2 linked regions of the Caenorhabditis elegans genome follow. The protein of the gene in region 2 purifies or fractionates together with the protein of the main gene of each other region. This does not show direct contact. Each region holds a gene or a part of one and is shown on either strand. Other genes may lie near its edges.

What was found. The genes of interacting proteins can lie anywhere in the genome.
Region 1: the proteins of pqn-68 (region 2) and Y54E5A.2 fractionate together in Caenorhabditis elegans (co-fractionation; one large-scale study listed by BioGRID). This does not show direct contact.

Annotation. Positions count from the first base shown.
Region 1 is NC_003279.8:14,690,969-14,701,625, reverse strand, and holds Y54E5A.2 (Recep_L_domain domain-containing protein), read right to left. Parts: upstream 7,473-10,657; 5' UTR 7,457-7,472; coding exon 7,387-7,456; intron 7,312-7,386; coding exon 7,037-7,311; intron 6,306-7,036; coding exon 6,074-6,305; intron 5,183-6,073; coding exon 5,088-5,182; intron 5,042-5,087; coding exon 4,924-5,041; intron 4,451-4,923; coding exon 4,279-4,450; intron 4,186-4,278; coding exon 4,158-4,185; intron 3,682-4,157; coding exon 3,503-3,681; intron 2,871-3,502; coding exon 2,768-2,870; intron 2,721-2,767; coding exon 2,623-2,720; intron 2,377-2,622; coding exon 2,125-2,376; intron 1,641-2,124; coding exon 1,579-1,640; intron 1,421-1,578; coding exon 1,326-1,420; 3' UTR 1,234-1,325; downstream 1-1,233. Other genes in the region: npp-4 (Nucleoporin p58/p45), read left to right, coding at 96-316; ttm-5 (Putative sphingolipid delta(4)-desaturase/C4-monooxygenase), read left to right, coding at 9,912-10,016, 10,069-10,369.
Region 2 is NC_003283.11:12,948,095-12,953,708, reverse strand, and holds pqn-68 (D-aminoacyl-tRNA deacylase), read right to left. Parts: upstream 1,074-5,614; 5' UTR 1,072-1,073; coding exon 1,015-1,071; intron 972-1,014; coding exon 768-971; intron 713-767; coding exon 521-712; 3' UTR 501-520; downstream 1-500. Other genes in the region: T16G1.18 (uncharacterized protein), read right to left, coding at 1,686-1,772, 2,280-2,372; T16G1.13 (uncharacterized protein), read right to left, coding at 3,489-3,638, 3,690-3,770; T16G1.9 (EIF3k), read left to right, coding at 3,053-3,143, 3,189-3,269, 3,314-3,464, 3,802-4,481, 4,533-4,963, 5,012-5,161, 5,213-5,360, 5,406-5,614.

The sequences.
Region 1 (10,657 bases), on a different chromosome or scaffold from region 2:
GATATTTCCGAACCAAAAAAGGATTATCGTCAAAATTGGCAATAAAGTCCAAAAAATCTATGATTTTTAAAATCTAAACCTTCAATTTCTCTCAGGAACAACTTCTCTTTTCGGATCAACGGCCACAAAACCAGCTTTCTCTGGAGGATCTCTATTCGGTGCAACAACTTCTACTGCAACATCCTCAGCTGCTGCCACCACCACAACTCCGACTACATCACTCTTCGGATCAACCAAACCAGCCACCACAACTACACCATTTGCATCGACTGTTGCTAATAATTCCAGTGGTCTTTTGTTCAGTTCAAAGAAATAATTATTTATTTTTTTATTTCATGATGACTGGTTTTATTATTTAATTTGTGAAATATTTATTTTTTCTGATCTTTCTTTCGATTCCTCACGCTTTTCCTGTTCTTACCCTATTCTTACATTAAGCTTATTCGATTTTAATTTTACATTGTCTCTACACAGCAAATTTTCCCATGAAATCTGATTTTTTGTAAAATTTTTGAATTTTTCATCAAAAATTAAGGTACTATAAGGGTATTGAAGGATTACTGTACGGGTACTGTAGGGATACTGTAGAATTATTGTAGTTTGGGAAATTTGAATTTTTAGCTTTAGTAGAGGTATTTTGTTGGGAGTTGGTGGGGATGATGTTAAGGTACTGTAAGGGTACTGTGGGCTTACTTTAGTTGTTTTGTATGATTACTGCAGGCTAAAAATTGACCTTTTTCAGAATATAGTAGTTTTGAACATTTTCAGGAAAATTATTTTTTTGCCCAAAATAAAAAAAAAGGACAGTCATTAGAAAATTTGGGCAAAAATAAAAAGTTGTCTAAATTTGTTGAAAACGGGTAATTCATACATGCAAAATTCAGAAAATCTAGGTTTAGTCCGTCAAAAACTATTAAAAAGTGGCAAAAATGGCCAATTTATGGCAAAAATTCACAATTTTGAAACTTCACTAAAACGGGCAATTTTGTAGTTAGAGGACTCAAAATTGATTTAGGATCACTAAAAAATTGCCCTTTTTCAGAATATAGTAGTTTTAAACATTTTCAAGACAATTATTTTTTTGCCCAAAATAAAAAAAAGGACAGTCATTAGATGGCTGAAAAAAATTTTGGCAAAAATAAAAAGTTGTCTAAATTTGTTGAAAACGGGTAATTCATACACGCTGAATTCAGAAAATCTAGGTTTAACCCGTCAAAAACTATTGAAAAATGCCAAAAATGAGTCATTTATAGTAAAAATCAAAAATTTTGAAACACCATAAATTCATCATTTATTTATAAAATCCGAGTTCTCTCGACAATGTACTAGTGTGAATTAACTGATTTAAGAGTTTTCTCCAAACGCCGTGTCTTCTCTCTGTGCATTAAAATGACGGCAGTGACGAGAAGCAGGAAGAATGCTGAAAATGTTTTATTATTTTTGAGCTGATTCTTTTTTTTTGAAATTCAGCATTTTACTTTCATTAGACGCGATAAGTTTTCAGAAGTATTAAATTATTGGAATTTTTTGTTGTAAATTCTCACTATTTCAATTTTAATTTTCTTCAAAAACTCTTACCAGCAATTGCCAGCGCCCAATAGAATACAGTATTTTGTATTGCAGAAACCTTCTCGTCAACTCTGAAAGTTCGAAATTTGTTATCAAATATATATTCCCCAAAATTCCAAATTCCATGAAAAGCCTCAAAAAATTCTGTAAAATCGATATTTCTGAAATATCCCGAAAATTCTAAAATCAAAAATTTTTTTTAAAAATCGCATTTTTTTGAATTTTTAAACCTTAAAAAAATTTGAAATTTTTCCGACGTTTTTTCGGACGTTTTTCAACTTTTTTTTTAACTATTCAGACTTTTCCAAAAATTATTTGGCAATAAATCAAACTCCAGGAAATTCTGGAAAATCGATAAAATTCCATTATTTTCAAAAAAAACATTAATTTCCCAGAATTTTCCCAACTAGTAGCAATTTTCGAAAAATTCTGAAAATTGAAAAAAATCGAAATTGTTAAATGTTATAAAAAGTTTCAGGGAAAATTGGAAACATTTGAAAATTGAAAATCTGAAAAAGAAAATCTGAAAAATTCCCAAAAAATTTCCAAACTCACTTTAAATTATGAAAAGTGATTCGAACCTTCTTCCGTTCCTTCGCCAAAATCAAATCAATTTTCATGTGCCACGTGGAAAAGTCAAGAATGAGTAGCTCGCCGCCACGTTGCACGGTTCCCTGCAGCAGACACGGGCGGTTCTTATCGTATTTTTTGGGTTTTCGAAGATCAATTCTCCATTTGGCGGACGTGGTTCGCATATCGTGAACTTCTGAATCCATTCGGATACGGAGATGTTGGTGGGCTCCGACGCTGAAAAATCGATAATTTTGCTCCTGATGATGTAAAAGCGCTCTATCGAACAAGTAGGCATTTTTGTGGAATCGATAATAAAAAATCGATATTGTTAATATCGATTGTTCCAGAAAATTTTGCGATAGAGCACAATTGCATCCGATTGACAATAATTTCCTAATCAAATTTAAACATGATCGAGTCCTTATCAATGTCTCCCATTTTGCAATTGCGCTCTACTGAACTAAGGAAGCAAAAACCCACGTCACTTTCATATTATCCATTCCAACGAGCACATCGATAAATTGCACTTGCTGACACGAATCGGAAACTTGCTCCTCGGATTCCACGTGGACGTCTTCCTAAACGTAGGTATGCCTACATGCCTGCCTGTCTACACTGAACTTACCATCGAAATATTGTGGCACTTGGCCCACTCGTAGCAATTCGTCTTTTGAATATTCGACTTGCAGGACTCTAATTCGATGAACATTCCAGACGTGAATTTGTGCCTGGAAACAGCAGTCGTATCAAAAAAACTGTTAATTGCCAAAATGTAGAGAATTCGATTTCCTATATTTTGTCCATTTACAAAATTTCATTAGCTTTGCTTTCCGCAGAGTTATAAGCGTTTTAAGTTTGCAAGGTAAGTGAGAGAGTGTGTGGCGAGGGGAGAGCGCAGACACCGCAGAAACTTTAAAGCGGTGTATCTCAAAATTGAAAAATGCTCAGAATTTCATGCTCTACAAGATGGGCGAAAAAGATTTTGAAACTTTGGAAAAAAAAAAGTTTTTTAGCATTTTTGAGAAAAATTTCAGCGGGCTTTATCTCGGTGGTAATAGGAGCTACATAAAAGTTGTCAACTAACAATTTGTAGAAAATTTTATGTAGTTTATTTTATTAATTAAAACAAATATTCTGCCTCCCACCCACGCAAAAATACACCTGTTTTTATGATTTCTGTAGCTCCGAATCCGTAAGAGCTACAGAAAACTTGTCAACTAGAAATTTCAAGCAAATTTAAAGTAGTTAAGTTGATTAATTGATACTTTCTTCGTATCTCATTTTTGCGCAAAGATATGGGGGTTTTAAAGAAGCTTTTAACCACCTCCCCTCAAAACCTAAAAATTCCCTTTCAACTTACCCAGCAGCCTTGTTAGCTACAATGAACTTTGGCACCAAATCACTTCGGATATCTCTTAAAATATCCTCAAGCACAATTCTTTTCAACAATGACGAGAACAATGGAATTCCCTGATGAGCATACGGAGGGATTGAGAGCAGTCTGTGAAGTTGGTTCAGTGACTCGCTGGGTTGGTTGGGCTGGAAATTGAAATGGTGAGAGGTGATGGGAATTGTAAAACGAACACTTTGTAGAGAATTTAATTTTCTACAAGTTGCTATCATAGATAACAACTTTTTGATATCAAGTATCTGAACGGGATTAGACAGGTTTTGGGCTAGTCTTCTGGGGGAAGTGAAGCGCTATCTCAAAACTCCTATAACTCGGAGAATTTTGTAGGTGCCAAAAAGTAGTTAACTAAAAGTAGTTAATTCTATAAAGAATCTAATTTGCTACATTTTGCTAGCTAACAATACTTTGAGATCTTACATCTGAACGGAGCTAGAAAGCTTTCGAACTATCTTGGAGGAACTCCTGTATCTCCGCAAAGTTACCTAGCTATCAAAAAGTTGGTAATCTGTAGAGAAATTAATTTCCTACAACTTGTCAGTTGATAACTATTTGGTAGCTTGTACTATTACAAAGCTACAGCCACTTCAAATAACTTCCATCTTACCTGCGCTTCCTTTTCCATTTTCCACTTCCTAATCGACAAATGCCCAACTCGGGTGCGAGCGGAATATTGATTTTCATTGAAAATTTTAAATATGTACTAAAAATAAGAGGTGAAAACTGACCAATCACTAGCAGTCTCATAATCATGTCCACAGATTGAGGTGGGACAGCAGCACGCCGAACAGCAACCCCAATCATCCCAGGAGATGAACAATTGAATATTGTTCTTAGTGTCGTTCACAGAGTTTATTGAAATTTCCAGAGACTCGTAGTTTTCGTAGGTGAAGATTTTATCTGAAACTGTATTTTCAATGGAATTCTCTATATTTTGTCATCTGTCAACTAATTGCCAGAATTTTGATATCTTCCTGATAAATTAAAATGAAAGGGTTGTTAACTAGGGATCCATAAAGAACGTTATATGGATTTTGGAATTTCTGAGTTTTTTCCTTAAAAAATGATCACACGAAAAAGTTGCCAACTAACAAAATATGCTCATTAAAATTCTATACATTTCGGCAGTTGACAACTCTTTGATAGCATTCCTCTGCGCAAAGTTACAAGCTTTCAAAGTTTTCCCAATGCGAGAGTGTAGAGGAGAAGGAGAGCGCTGGCAGTGTCTGCACTCTCCCCCTCCTCCGCGCTCTCTCGCTAATAAAACTTCAAAGCGGGGTATATCTCGGCGGGGAGTAGAGATAGAGAAATCATGGAAAACGAAGAAAGAATCAGAATTTGAATTTCTATACGATAAAGTCAATAAAGCTTACCATTCTGCTCTCCGTCCCCAATAATATCCTCATTCACAAAGTTATAGCTGCTCACAATTTTACCATTCAACTCAATTCCACACATTGTAGTAAATCCTTCAATTTTTCGAGAATGAATCTGTAAATTTTTGAGTTTTTCAGAGAGTAAAGTCCTGGAAACCAACCGCCAGCTCTCCATTGGGGAGCCCTATAGCTTCTCTGTCGGTTTCAGTGGCTCCATGCTCTCCACTCCATCTTGTCACCTTTCCAAAATGCAGGTCTGTGGAAGGTGTAGTTTGGCAAAAGATATAAAAAGGAAAACGGCGTCACAGGGACTGGAATCAAAAATGTGCTCACAATAATTTTCAGTTAATTTGGCTCAATTTCGGGATGATTTACAGATATAAGCTAGTTCTAGATAAACTATACAAGCTTCAAAAGTACTAAGCTTAGGGTTTTTAATGGTACTACATTATTTTAAGTATGATGAAGCTATTGTTTATGGTGCATGATTTGTGGATTTTTAAGCAAAATAGCCTGTAAAATTTTGTAAAGAAAGCTCCATCGGCTGCTCAGATACGAGCTTAAACACCAAGTGGCACCAAAAAACTTGCTAAAAGCCATTTACAACTTAAAAAAATAGCCCGCTCAGTAGCTTCATGTCGGGCTTAAAGGTCATAAAAAGTTGAAAATCAAGCTTTTGCAGGTTTCCAGTTATTTCGATGATATGAAAAACAAAAATTACACCACCAAATTACTACATTAAATGTATTTTTGAAACTGAAAAATTTTATGCTTCTTGAAAAAATGAGAATTTTCGGCGAAATTGTCGAAAATCGCAGGGGGGGGGTCCCATAGCAGTTGGGCGGTCGATTTTTCAACTTTTTGCTCTTTTGCACTCAACTTTTGAGATATCATGATAAAATTATAGATCCATAGGTTTTTTGGTATGCTGATTCCAATTCCAATACTAGTTTTCTATAAAAAAGTAGCTGTTGGGTGCACTGTACCTACTAAGCACCTTAGGAGTACCCTTGAGAGATAATGAAGGCTTGTGATATGTATGCTATGCTTAACTAGACTCATTGAATTCAGAAATAAATTTCTGATACTTTGAGGGTAATTTCAGCTAGTTCGTCTAATTTTCAGCCAAGTTAAATAATACACTCACTATTAATTCTCAAGTAATCCTGAAAATTCGAGACACGTGGCTCCTGTTCACAATCCTCCCGACTACAATAGTGCAATAAATTATTGATTTTTCGAGAGCCGATCGTCAATTTCGTGAAAATCTGAGTGAAATCACGTTCCGGGAATACGTAGTACATTTGATGGAGACCTTCAATTATCGGATGACACGTGGCACATTGCGGTTGGTACGGGAGGCCCGCTTCGCGAGTTTTCTGCAAAATAACGTTGATTTTGATGCAGGGGCAGCGTTTTCTGGAGAATTTAAATATCGGGGGAAGGCGATCTCAAAAAAAAAGGGGCGGGAAAAACAATTGAAAATTTACGCTCCGCCCCTATAACAGGTCTAAATTTTGAACTTTTACACTCAAATCTACAAAATTTTATAGAAAAAAAACGGTTTTTTTCATGTGAATAAGCCCGCAAAAGATAATAAAACACGTGGTCAGAGTGTCCCATTTCGGTGTGATCTTCAAAAAATGCGGGAATTGAGTCGCAGATTTCTCAACAAATTTTGTAAGTGTGCTGGCGACACATTTTACTGGGCAAAAAATTTCCGCATTTTATTGTAGATCATTCAAATTTACGCTACGCCTCTATAACATGTCTAAATTTTGAACTTTAACACTAAAATCTACAAAACTTTATGGAAAACGCCTGACACCACGTGTAAAAGTGCGCTTCACCAAATTTATTTTAATCATTTTTTTTTCTCTTTTGCTCATGAAATGAATTTGCTCACTAGAAACATATAAAATCTAGCAGAAAAACAGCTGCATTTGTCTATGATCTTAAAAATTGATTAAAACTGGTCTTGGCACGATTCGCGAGTGTGCAAACGCGCTCCACCGAACTTTTGCCGTTTTTATAGATTTTTAGGCCCGAAAAGCTAAAATTCAACAATATTATATAAAAATTATCGAATAAATAGAAAAAAAAATTAAACCTGAAAAATGCGAAATCCAATATTAAAGAACCCGTTAGAATCACACAATTCCTTTGATATATGAGGAATTCGAAACGCCGGATTCGATATAAAATATGGTAATTTGTGATAAATCGTCTGATTCCCATTTAACCATCCCAGTGAGTCGAATTCCAAGATTTTTCCGTCGAATAGTATATTGTTGTACTTGTGAACGTTCAGGTAATTCTCAAATCTCCACGTGTCTTTTGATAATGGAATTGAGGAGTACAGGGAGTAGAGTTCCGCTCGTCTTTCTGAAAAAAAAACAGTAGATTTGAGACTTTGCAGAAAGGGGCTGCAAACGCGCTCCAGCGAAGAGGTCTCCTTACCAAACTCGATAACAATTCCATGCACTGTCGAAAAAAGCATAAGTTTCAGAAAATTGAACAACAAAACCATGGTTGGTTTGGAGAAATGAAGCAGATTGATTTTTCAATGGATTTAAAAAGTTTTTACGTGATAAATTATTTTTAAAAACATATTTTTTAAATAAATCGTATCGAAAATTTAATTAAAAATTAAATATACCCCGTGAAATTCTCTACATTTTGTTAGTTAAACACTTTTTGATAGCATTTCTCTGCGTGAAGTTGTGAGCGTTTGAAGTTTTTTGGGGTGAGAGAGTGTGGGGGAGGGCGAGAGTGCAGAGAGATATACTGCCTGCACTCTCCTCTCCCTCCACGCTCTCAACACCGAAACTTAGAAGAGGTGTATCTTTGCAGAGAGGAAAGATACAAAAATATTGTAAAAAGGAAAAATGTTCAGAATTTGATTCTCTATATATTGCAATAAAAACAAATTGTTCGGAGTTTTTTTTAGTTTCTTGTTTTTTTTTCCTGAAATTCAAACTAAAAAGTGTATTTGAGCAGTGTTTTGCTCTACAAAGATATTCTGCATTTATTGGGTAAGAGCCAAAAGTGCCATATCTAACCGGAAGCTTATTCTACCAAATTTTACTTAACTAACAAAATATACGCCTTGAAATTCTGTACATTTTTGCAATTTACAATATTTTAATTGCACTCCTCTGCTCAAAGTGACAGGCGTTTTAAGATTGGCGGGTGAGAGAGCGCGAGGGAGGGGGAGAGTGCAGACACTGCCTGCGCTCTCCCCCTCCCCCACACTCTCTCACCCGCCAAAACTTCAGCGTGGTGTAACTCGGCGGGTAGGAAAGATAGAGAGGTAGTGTAAAAGACAAGAATGTGTAGAATTGGATTTTCTACTGGATAACGTTTTGAGTTTTAGCATTTATGAAATTTATGAAAAATGAATGTTTGAATTTGAATTTTCAATTTTTAGTTTTCCAAATGATATTTCATAATGTTTCCGTCTAGTTTTCATTATCAATTTCCCTATACTCTACTGTCTGAAACTGTTTGTTTTACCACGAAAATGACCAATACCTAGTGAATCATTGGAAAAAAAGAGCATCGCTTCCCTCTCCCGTCTCGCTCTCAAAACACACACACACACAGTTCCTTCCTTTCTATTTGCATGTATAGTTGCATTCTCTACGCAATAAGTCCACCTTTCCGTATGTGTGTGCTCCAAGAGCAACGGAAACTGGATTCAGGTGGTTGCTAACCAACCAATTTCCCCCTCTGGCTTTTCATCCTATAAGGTTTCCAATTTATCACTTTTTGTCTCAGAGAGCATATGTGCCTTTGAATTTATTGAAAAATATAAATTTTTAGTTTGAAAATGTGCAACCTTTGCTAGATGTTTTGCTTTAAAAAGCACTCGCGCTATTTTTTACTTGTTTGTGCGTGGTTTTACGAATTTTTAACTAAATATTTCTTAAGCCCCCTATATCTTCCTGAAAAATGAAGATATCAAAATTTTCTCAGCCAACAAAATATTCTCCTCAAAATTCTCTACATTTTTGCAGTTATCATTGTTTCTCTACCTCTTTTTTCCACAGAGTTACACGCGTTTCAAATTCGACGGGGTGAGAAAGTGTGGGGGAGGGGAGTGCGCAGACACTGCGCTCTCTCCCTCTTCCACACTCTCTCGCCTTCAAAACTTTGAAGCGGTGTATCTCTGCAAGTAAGATAGGTAGAAGCATACTGTAAAAGCAAAATTGTGTAGAATTAGATTTTCTAAAAGATTGTAAAGTTTTGGAAATTTTTTTTTTTTTAATTAAATGTTTTTTTTTTCAAAATTTTCAAAAAGTTACACCACTTCTCAATGTAACTCAATTCCAAATTCCTCTTCAAGTCTATCCAAAGATCATATTGTACCTGGATTGGAATGTCTCTATAGTCCCTGCGCACTCTTTGCTCTCAAGAACAAATACATCACTACGTGTGCCTTATAGTCTGTTTCTCTGCTGCTCTCCTGCTCTCTCCTTTCCTGATTCATCATATTCGTGTTCTTATCATTTTTAAGACGTGATCTTATCACACAAAAACTGCCCATTTTAATGTGTTCCGAAAGAAAAATAACCGCCCATTGATTTTCTTTTTGTGCAGGAATTTGTAGAGGTGATTTACACGGTTTTTTTTAATTTTTATTACTGGAATTTTGAATTTAAATGGTTTTTTTTGTCAAAATTTAGTTATTATTAGTTTTTGAAAATTTAACAAAATCAAACCCCCAAAAAAATCATTTCACAAAATTTGTTTCAAAATTTTCAGAATTCAATTCACTCCTCTTGTAGAAAATCCAATTCTACACAATTTTTCCTTTTACAGTGTTTTTCTATCTTTCCTACCTGCCGGGATACATCTCTTCAAAGTTTCTTTAGCGAGAGAGCGTGGGGGTGGGGGAGAGCGCAGGCAGTGTCTGCACTCTCCCCCTCACCGCGCTCTCTATTTAAAATTTCTACTTTTCAGATCTCAAAACTGCTCTTAAAATGGGGCAATCAGTGAGTCGAGATGATTTTATTTGGACGTTAACAGAGCAGCCACATATGAGTAGACGAGAGGAAATTGTGAAAAAGTACCCAGAAGTTAAAAAGGTGAGTTTATATTTTAAAACGTATGAGCATTTTCTGAAACTGAAAATTTTAGCTATTCGGCGTTGATCCATCTCTAAAATACGTGGTGTCTAGTTTGGTAATATTTCAAATTTTTATGTGTTGGTTATTACAAGATGCTGATTGGATATTAATAATACTTGAAGCCTACTTTTGCGGTGGAATAATCAATCACGCAATGACACTTGCCATCCATGATATTTCACATAATACGGCTTTTGGTAATAAGTACCCATTGAAAAATCGATTTTTCGGAATGTGGGCAAATTTGCCGATTGCTGTGCCGATATCAGTGTCTTTTAAGAAGTATCATGTGGAGCATCATCGATATTTGGGTAAGTCCATTGTGTAAAAAATAAAATTCTGGACTTTTTTGCCTCTTACTGTAATTTTCTATCTTACCTCCTCGCCGAGATAAACCTCTTTGAAGTTTTGGCGGTGAGAGAGTGTGGGGGAGGAGGAGAGCGCAGGCAGTATCTGCACTCTCCCCCTCCTCCGCGCTCTCTCATCCTGGCAAACTTAGAACGCCTGTAACTTTGCGCAGAGGAACGCAATTAAAATATTGTGAATTGCAAAAATGTAGAAAATTTCAAGAAGAATATTTCTACGGTAACATCAATTTA
Region 2 (5,614 bases):
ATCCTGCACAGATCTTCCTCGATTTTAGAGGCACTCCCCATTTGGGTTAAGAGATTTCAGTGAACTCGATTTGCTATCAGACAAACTGAAATGGAGACGTTTTTCCAAGTTTTTTTTTCAGTTTTTAATGAGATTTACATTAGAAATAAGAAAAAACTATTGTTAGAGGAAAACTCAGCGTATGGGTTTCGCCACGCTGATATCGGGTTACTGTAACTGGTGTCAAATTAAGGGCCACATTTGCCTCATAATTTTCAAATTAAAGGAAAAATTTCTGTTACGATTTATATAATCAAAATTTAATGCAAAATCCATAAATCGACAAAAGTTACAGTAAGTCGTCGTCTGCGTGGTGAGACCAATGTGCGTAAGATATTGAAAACTCGCATTTAAGGTATACGTAATATGAGGTTTTGCCAGAGAATATAAATATATGAAAATAATTAAGATATGATGACGGAATCAAACCGCTGTATGAACAAAATTGTACAAAATTCAACAGTAGTAAAACAAATTTTTATTATTTTTCTTTACTATCAAAAGTAACTGTAACAGGTCCGTCATTTACAATATCGACGCTCATCATTGCTGCAAATTTGCCGTCCTGAATCTTATCAGCTTTGTAAGCTTTTTTCATGGCTTCAAGAAAAGAAGCATAAAATTTTGAAGCTTCTGTTGGGGCCATTGCGGTATGAAAGTCCAGTTTATTTCCCTAAAAAACGAAATAATATGAATAGTTTTGTTTAAGTATATTAGACAAAACTCACTTTAAACTGACCGTAAAGGGTGAACTGACTGACAGACAGCACTTCTAAATCGAGATCCATAACTGATTTATCCCATGGTTTTTGTTCCGAAGCAGGGAAAACTCGTAGATTCAAAATTTTCCTAATGATATACTTCATATCCTCTTCCGTGTCATCTCGATGAACTCCGACAAGCACACACAGACCTCTTCCAATGGAACCTACCTGATTATGATATTTTAAACAATAACGGTTAATATATTCTTACCACTTCATCACCTACGGTGACTGCAGCTCGAGTAACTCGTTGAAGAACTACCTTCATTTCTGAAAAAAATTGAAACAACTAATGTTAAAAATACAAAAAAAAACAGATGAAAACTATTGAAATGTTCTCTTGAAAACCCTAAAAATAAATGAAAAATGTTTGCTAAACAGAGCGCGCTAACGACACTCCACCGTATTACTAGTCCTCAAAGGCTCGGCCAGCGCGACGTGGAATCTGTACACGGTCTCCTTCACAAGAAATGTACCAACTCTCTCGCGGTTTGCTTGCTGGCCACCTTGCCGTTGTTTTCAACAGGAGTTCTTAAATTTGAGCAGAAATCGATGATACGGTAGACTGTAGCAGCTATAGCCTTGATTGTAGAAAGTGGATGCACTTCATAGATTTTGAGCATATATAACTCTGTTCATGTTTGAGATAGAGACTAATGATAAACTGACAAAATGAGCATTACAAAAAGACAGACATTTCTTAAGTTGAGAGTTTTTTGATATCTCTTCTCAATAAAAAGATACGACCATAACTTGATGGCTGTGGTTTTACATGCCACCCTTAATTAAAACCTTACAATCTCCGTTATCTTTAAAGATACAACAATTTTATTAACCAAATATTATGACAAGCAGATTTAAAACAATTTTTACTAACAAGAACTACATTTCTATATACAAAAAATTATGGGGATTTTGACATTTCCAAGTTGGCCATCTTAAACCGGCTATACCACTAAGTCCTGAAACCTGAAATTGATATTTCAATTGGGAACTTATTTTATATGAGATATCTAACAATTTTGTGAATACTTTCTTCTAACTTTTAAAAAAAGTATTTCATGAACTGTTATTTGACTTTCTAATCAATGTAGCTTTTGGGGACATGCAACTAGTCTGTCTTACAGGTTAGAAAAATATTGTCAACTAAAGAAATATTAATCATTTCAAACTGAACATTTTGTTATGTAGTTATCAGCTCTTCAGTAAAGAGGGTACTGTAGTAGCCAGCGTAATCTTTGGACCGAAATTTCTCTCTTTTAACTCAACTAATAAGTTTTTCCATTAGCCGCTTTTCACTTTAAGCCAACTTTTTTTAAATTCAAAAAACCTTCAAAAATCGACAATGTAGTACTGAGTTAACTTAGTACTACATTGTCGACTGGAGTTGATATTTATCCTTTAAATTACTCTTTTGTATACAGACATTTTTATATGTCTTATACTTCAAAAGGTTCAACAAAAATGTCTACATACTAGAGCCGGACGGTAGATCAATATGTGCAAAATAAATGAGATCAGATGTAGGAGTGAGAGACGCAGAGACCGTATGTTTCTCTGCCGTCTCATCTTGTGGAGGAGGCCCACAACATGTCAAATGCTACGTGGCCGTGAATATTAGTTAAACCATAGGCCGGGAACACTGCAATTGGTGGTCACTTACCAGCCAAATTAACCCACTTCTCAACCAACTTTTTTCAATTTTTTCCAATTTTTGCCAACTTTTGGTAACTCTTTCCAGTTGTTTGTTGCAAATTCCCAAAGATTTTTGTTTCGGTAACGTGTTTATGAATATTTGTTCTATAATACTGAAAACATTTTTATACAATTCTTATTGAAATTTTTCTTGAAACAAGTTTGGAAAGTTAACGTAGGTTTTGAAATACGATTGATATCTTCGTACTTTTTTGAGAAACTGAAACAAAATTCAAAGATTTTTATTGAATAGTTTTTGTGAAATCACAGTTTGAAATATATCTTAAATTCCCCCGAATATAATAATTTCCATTATGGAAAAAATCAATTTCACGTTTATTTTTTTTTGAAAGGTCAAATTCCGCTGCTGTCGTGTTTGTTGCGATCTTCGTGGATTTTGTCTGCTTCTCCAGATTTTTGTATGCTAAATCGTTTTGTATTACCAATCATTGTGTTGCTGTGATTTTTACGACGATTCGAACGTGTTAGTCGATCATCTTTTAACCCTGTATTTAACACGAATTCGACCTCAAAAAATCTATAATTTCAGCGACATGGGTGAAAAAGAAGAAGCCGCTCCGGTACTTTTGCAGTGCCTTGAGAGCGGCCGAGTGGACGTGATTTGCTCAATCTTGTCACAAATGAGTAAGTTTCAATAAAAGTATACTGTAACAATATGTTAAACTACAGAGAACCAACCGGACTTTCACGTTCAAGTCGATAAACTTTGCTGCAAGGAAGGAACACTACTTCATAAAGCTGTTGAGCTAGGTAATATTTTGAGATTTTGATTTTAAGCAAGATAACAGTTTTAGATGCTGCTGATAGTGTAGCTTCTTTGCTTTCCGGAGGTGTAAATCCATGTGTACAAAACTTGGATGGTAAAACAGCCTATCAATGCTGCAAATCAGAAAATGTTCGGTTGTCATTCGTCCGAGAAGCTTTGCAGTCAATTAACATGAACAAGTAAGAAATATTCATTTTAATCAATTAACCAGTCTTTACATCTTGACGATCTTGAAGAATTTTCGCCACGTAGGTGCTTTTCAAGGGCACATCATCAATATTAGAATCATCACGAGCACGTGGTTGGGGGAAAAATCCAGGTGTGCTGCTGCCAGGGCCTGTTGTCATCTGTGTCTTAAATTGTTTTTTTTAAACATTAGCATACATATAAAATCCAAAAAATACCTGCATCAGCAGTGGCCACTTGTTACGTCTTTCGGGAAACGAGTTGATACGTGCCAATTCATCTTTAGCGAATTTCTCCATCTTGACCAAACAGAAATAAATAATTTTTCAGAACTGAACGTCTATGCCAACTTATTCGTGCCGGAGTACACGTTGATTCGTTCGACACGCCACAAACAAAGAATACACTTTTAAATTGGGCTGCTGATTTTGCTACATTGGAAGTTGTAAAAGCATTGCTCACAAATGGCGCCACTGTTGATCTTGCAAATTCGAAAGACGAGACTCCTCTTCATACTGCTATTCTGAGAAAAGCAGATCCAGAAATTGTGAAACTTCTACTTTCTTCCGGAGCAAATCCTGCACTCAAAACAAAAAAGGATCAAGATGCTTTTGCACTTGCTGAAACTCACAATCCATCTCTTCTATCACTTCTCAGCATGGATCAAATAGCTAGAGATGTTAGACATCATAGATCAGTTGATGACATGGACGATCGAATGTCTTTGATTTCATGCACAGAAACTCTGAATACCCAAATTTTCAACGATTCCGTCAAGTACGATAAGTACATTGAAGGTGAAATCGACTCTTGGACAGATCTTCTTTGGCCTCAACCAAAACTTATTTCCATAAAGCCCCATTCTGCTCGGAACTTTGAATTCCCGAAAGACGGGAAACTTAAAGTCTACTTTGATGATTGTTCGAGTGCCAATCCTCGACAAGTAATGCAAATTATAGAACTCAGCAAGCCACTTTTGATCAGTGTAGGAGTCGATATAGAATACAGAGGTAATGTTTCTCCGAACTATTCACTCAACACCATTCTAGCTCATCTTACAGGACATCGGTTGGCAGATCACGAAACATCTTCATTGGAAGGAAAGGTGACATGTGGAGTGTTTGAAGATGGACGTCCTTCTGGCTCATATACACTTACAATCGATGCAATCAGAGGAGTCGAAGTTGTTGGATCTGATTATGCTGGAATCCGTCACGCATTTGCAACGTTCGTACAAATTGTTCGGCTGCACAAATTTGCACAACATAAGCAGTCTGGAGTTAGCAACGGAGTTTCCAATTCGTCTAATGGAACCAATGGACATGCTAGTGGAGATCATAGTCATTCCAACGGGAATAGTGTTTCAAAACAGTTGACTGACATTAGCTCTGACGGAACAATCAAGGAACTTACTATTAGGGATCAACCTGATCGAGCATTCAGAGCTGTATATCAAGACTTTTCAGGATGTAGAATCCTCAATCCTGACACTGTATGTTTTTCTTCAAACATTGCACATATAAATGCCAACCTATTTCAGATCCTAAAATTAGCAACTCGATTATCATCTTGTAAAGCCAATTATTTATTCGTTAATTTTGAAGTAAGAACCACTGATCGTTATCAACTGCCATATACAAATCGGGAACTGTTCCACATGATGCAAGTGTGCCAGGAGTTGTTCATAACTGTCAGTTAAAACTATTTGAGGAAAAAATAATTGCAATTCATTTATTTATAGTTTGTTCCGTCAATTGATACTCAATCAAATTATCTGGAGGGCGATCAAGCAAGAATTATCATCGACCAATTTTTAGATGACTTTCCATTATGCAAAGTAGTTCATTTTGGACCAAATCTTGCCAGTCTTTTGATTGCAGATAGGAAACGTGAGATAACTGGAAAAGAGTCTTAATAACAACTCTTTTTTCCAGTTTTGACATCGATTCAACGCCGTATTCCACGTATTTATCTCTCCACACATGTTGATGAAAAGAATGGGCCTCTTCTCTCTACACTTCCTCCATTCGTTACGTTGTGTGTAGAAGGAACTTGGCCATTTGAAGTAGAAAGATATGTTTCACCTCGGGTTTCTGTTGTAATTAAGTTCTCGACTGGTGACGACGGATATTTGTGTGCTTCA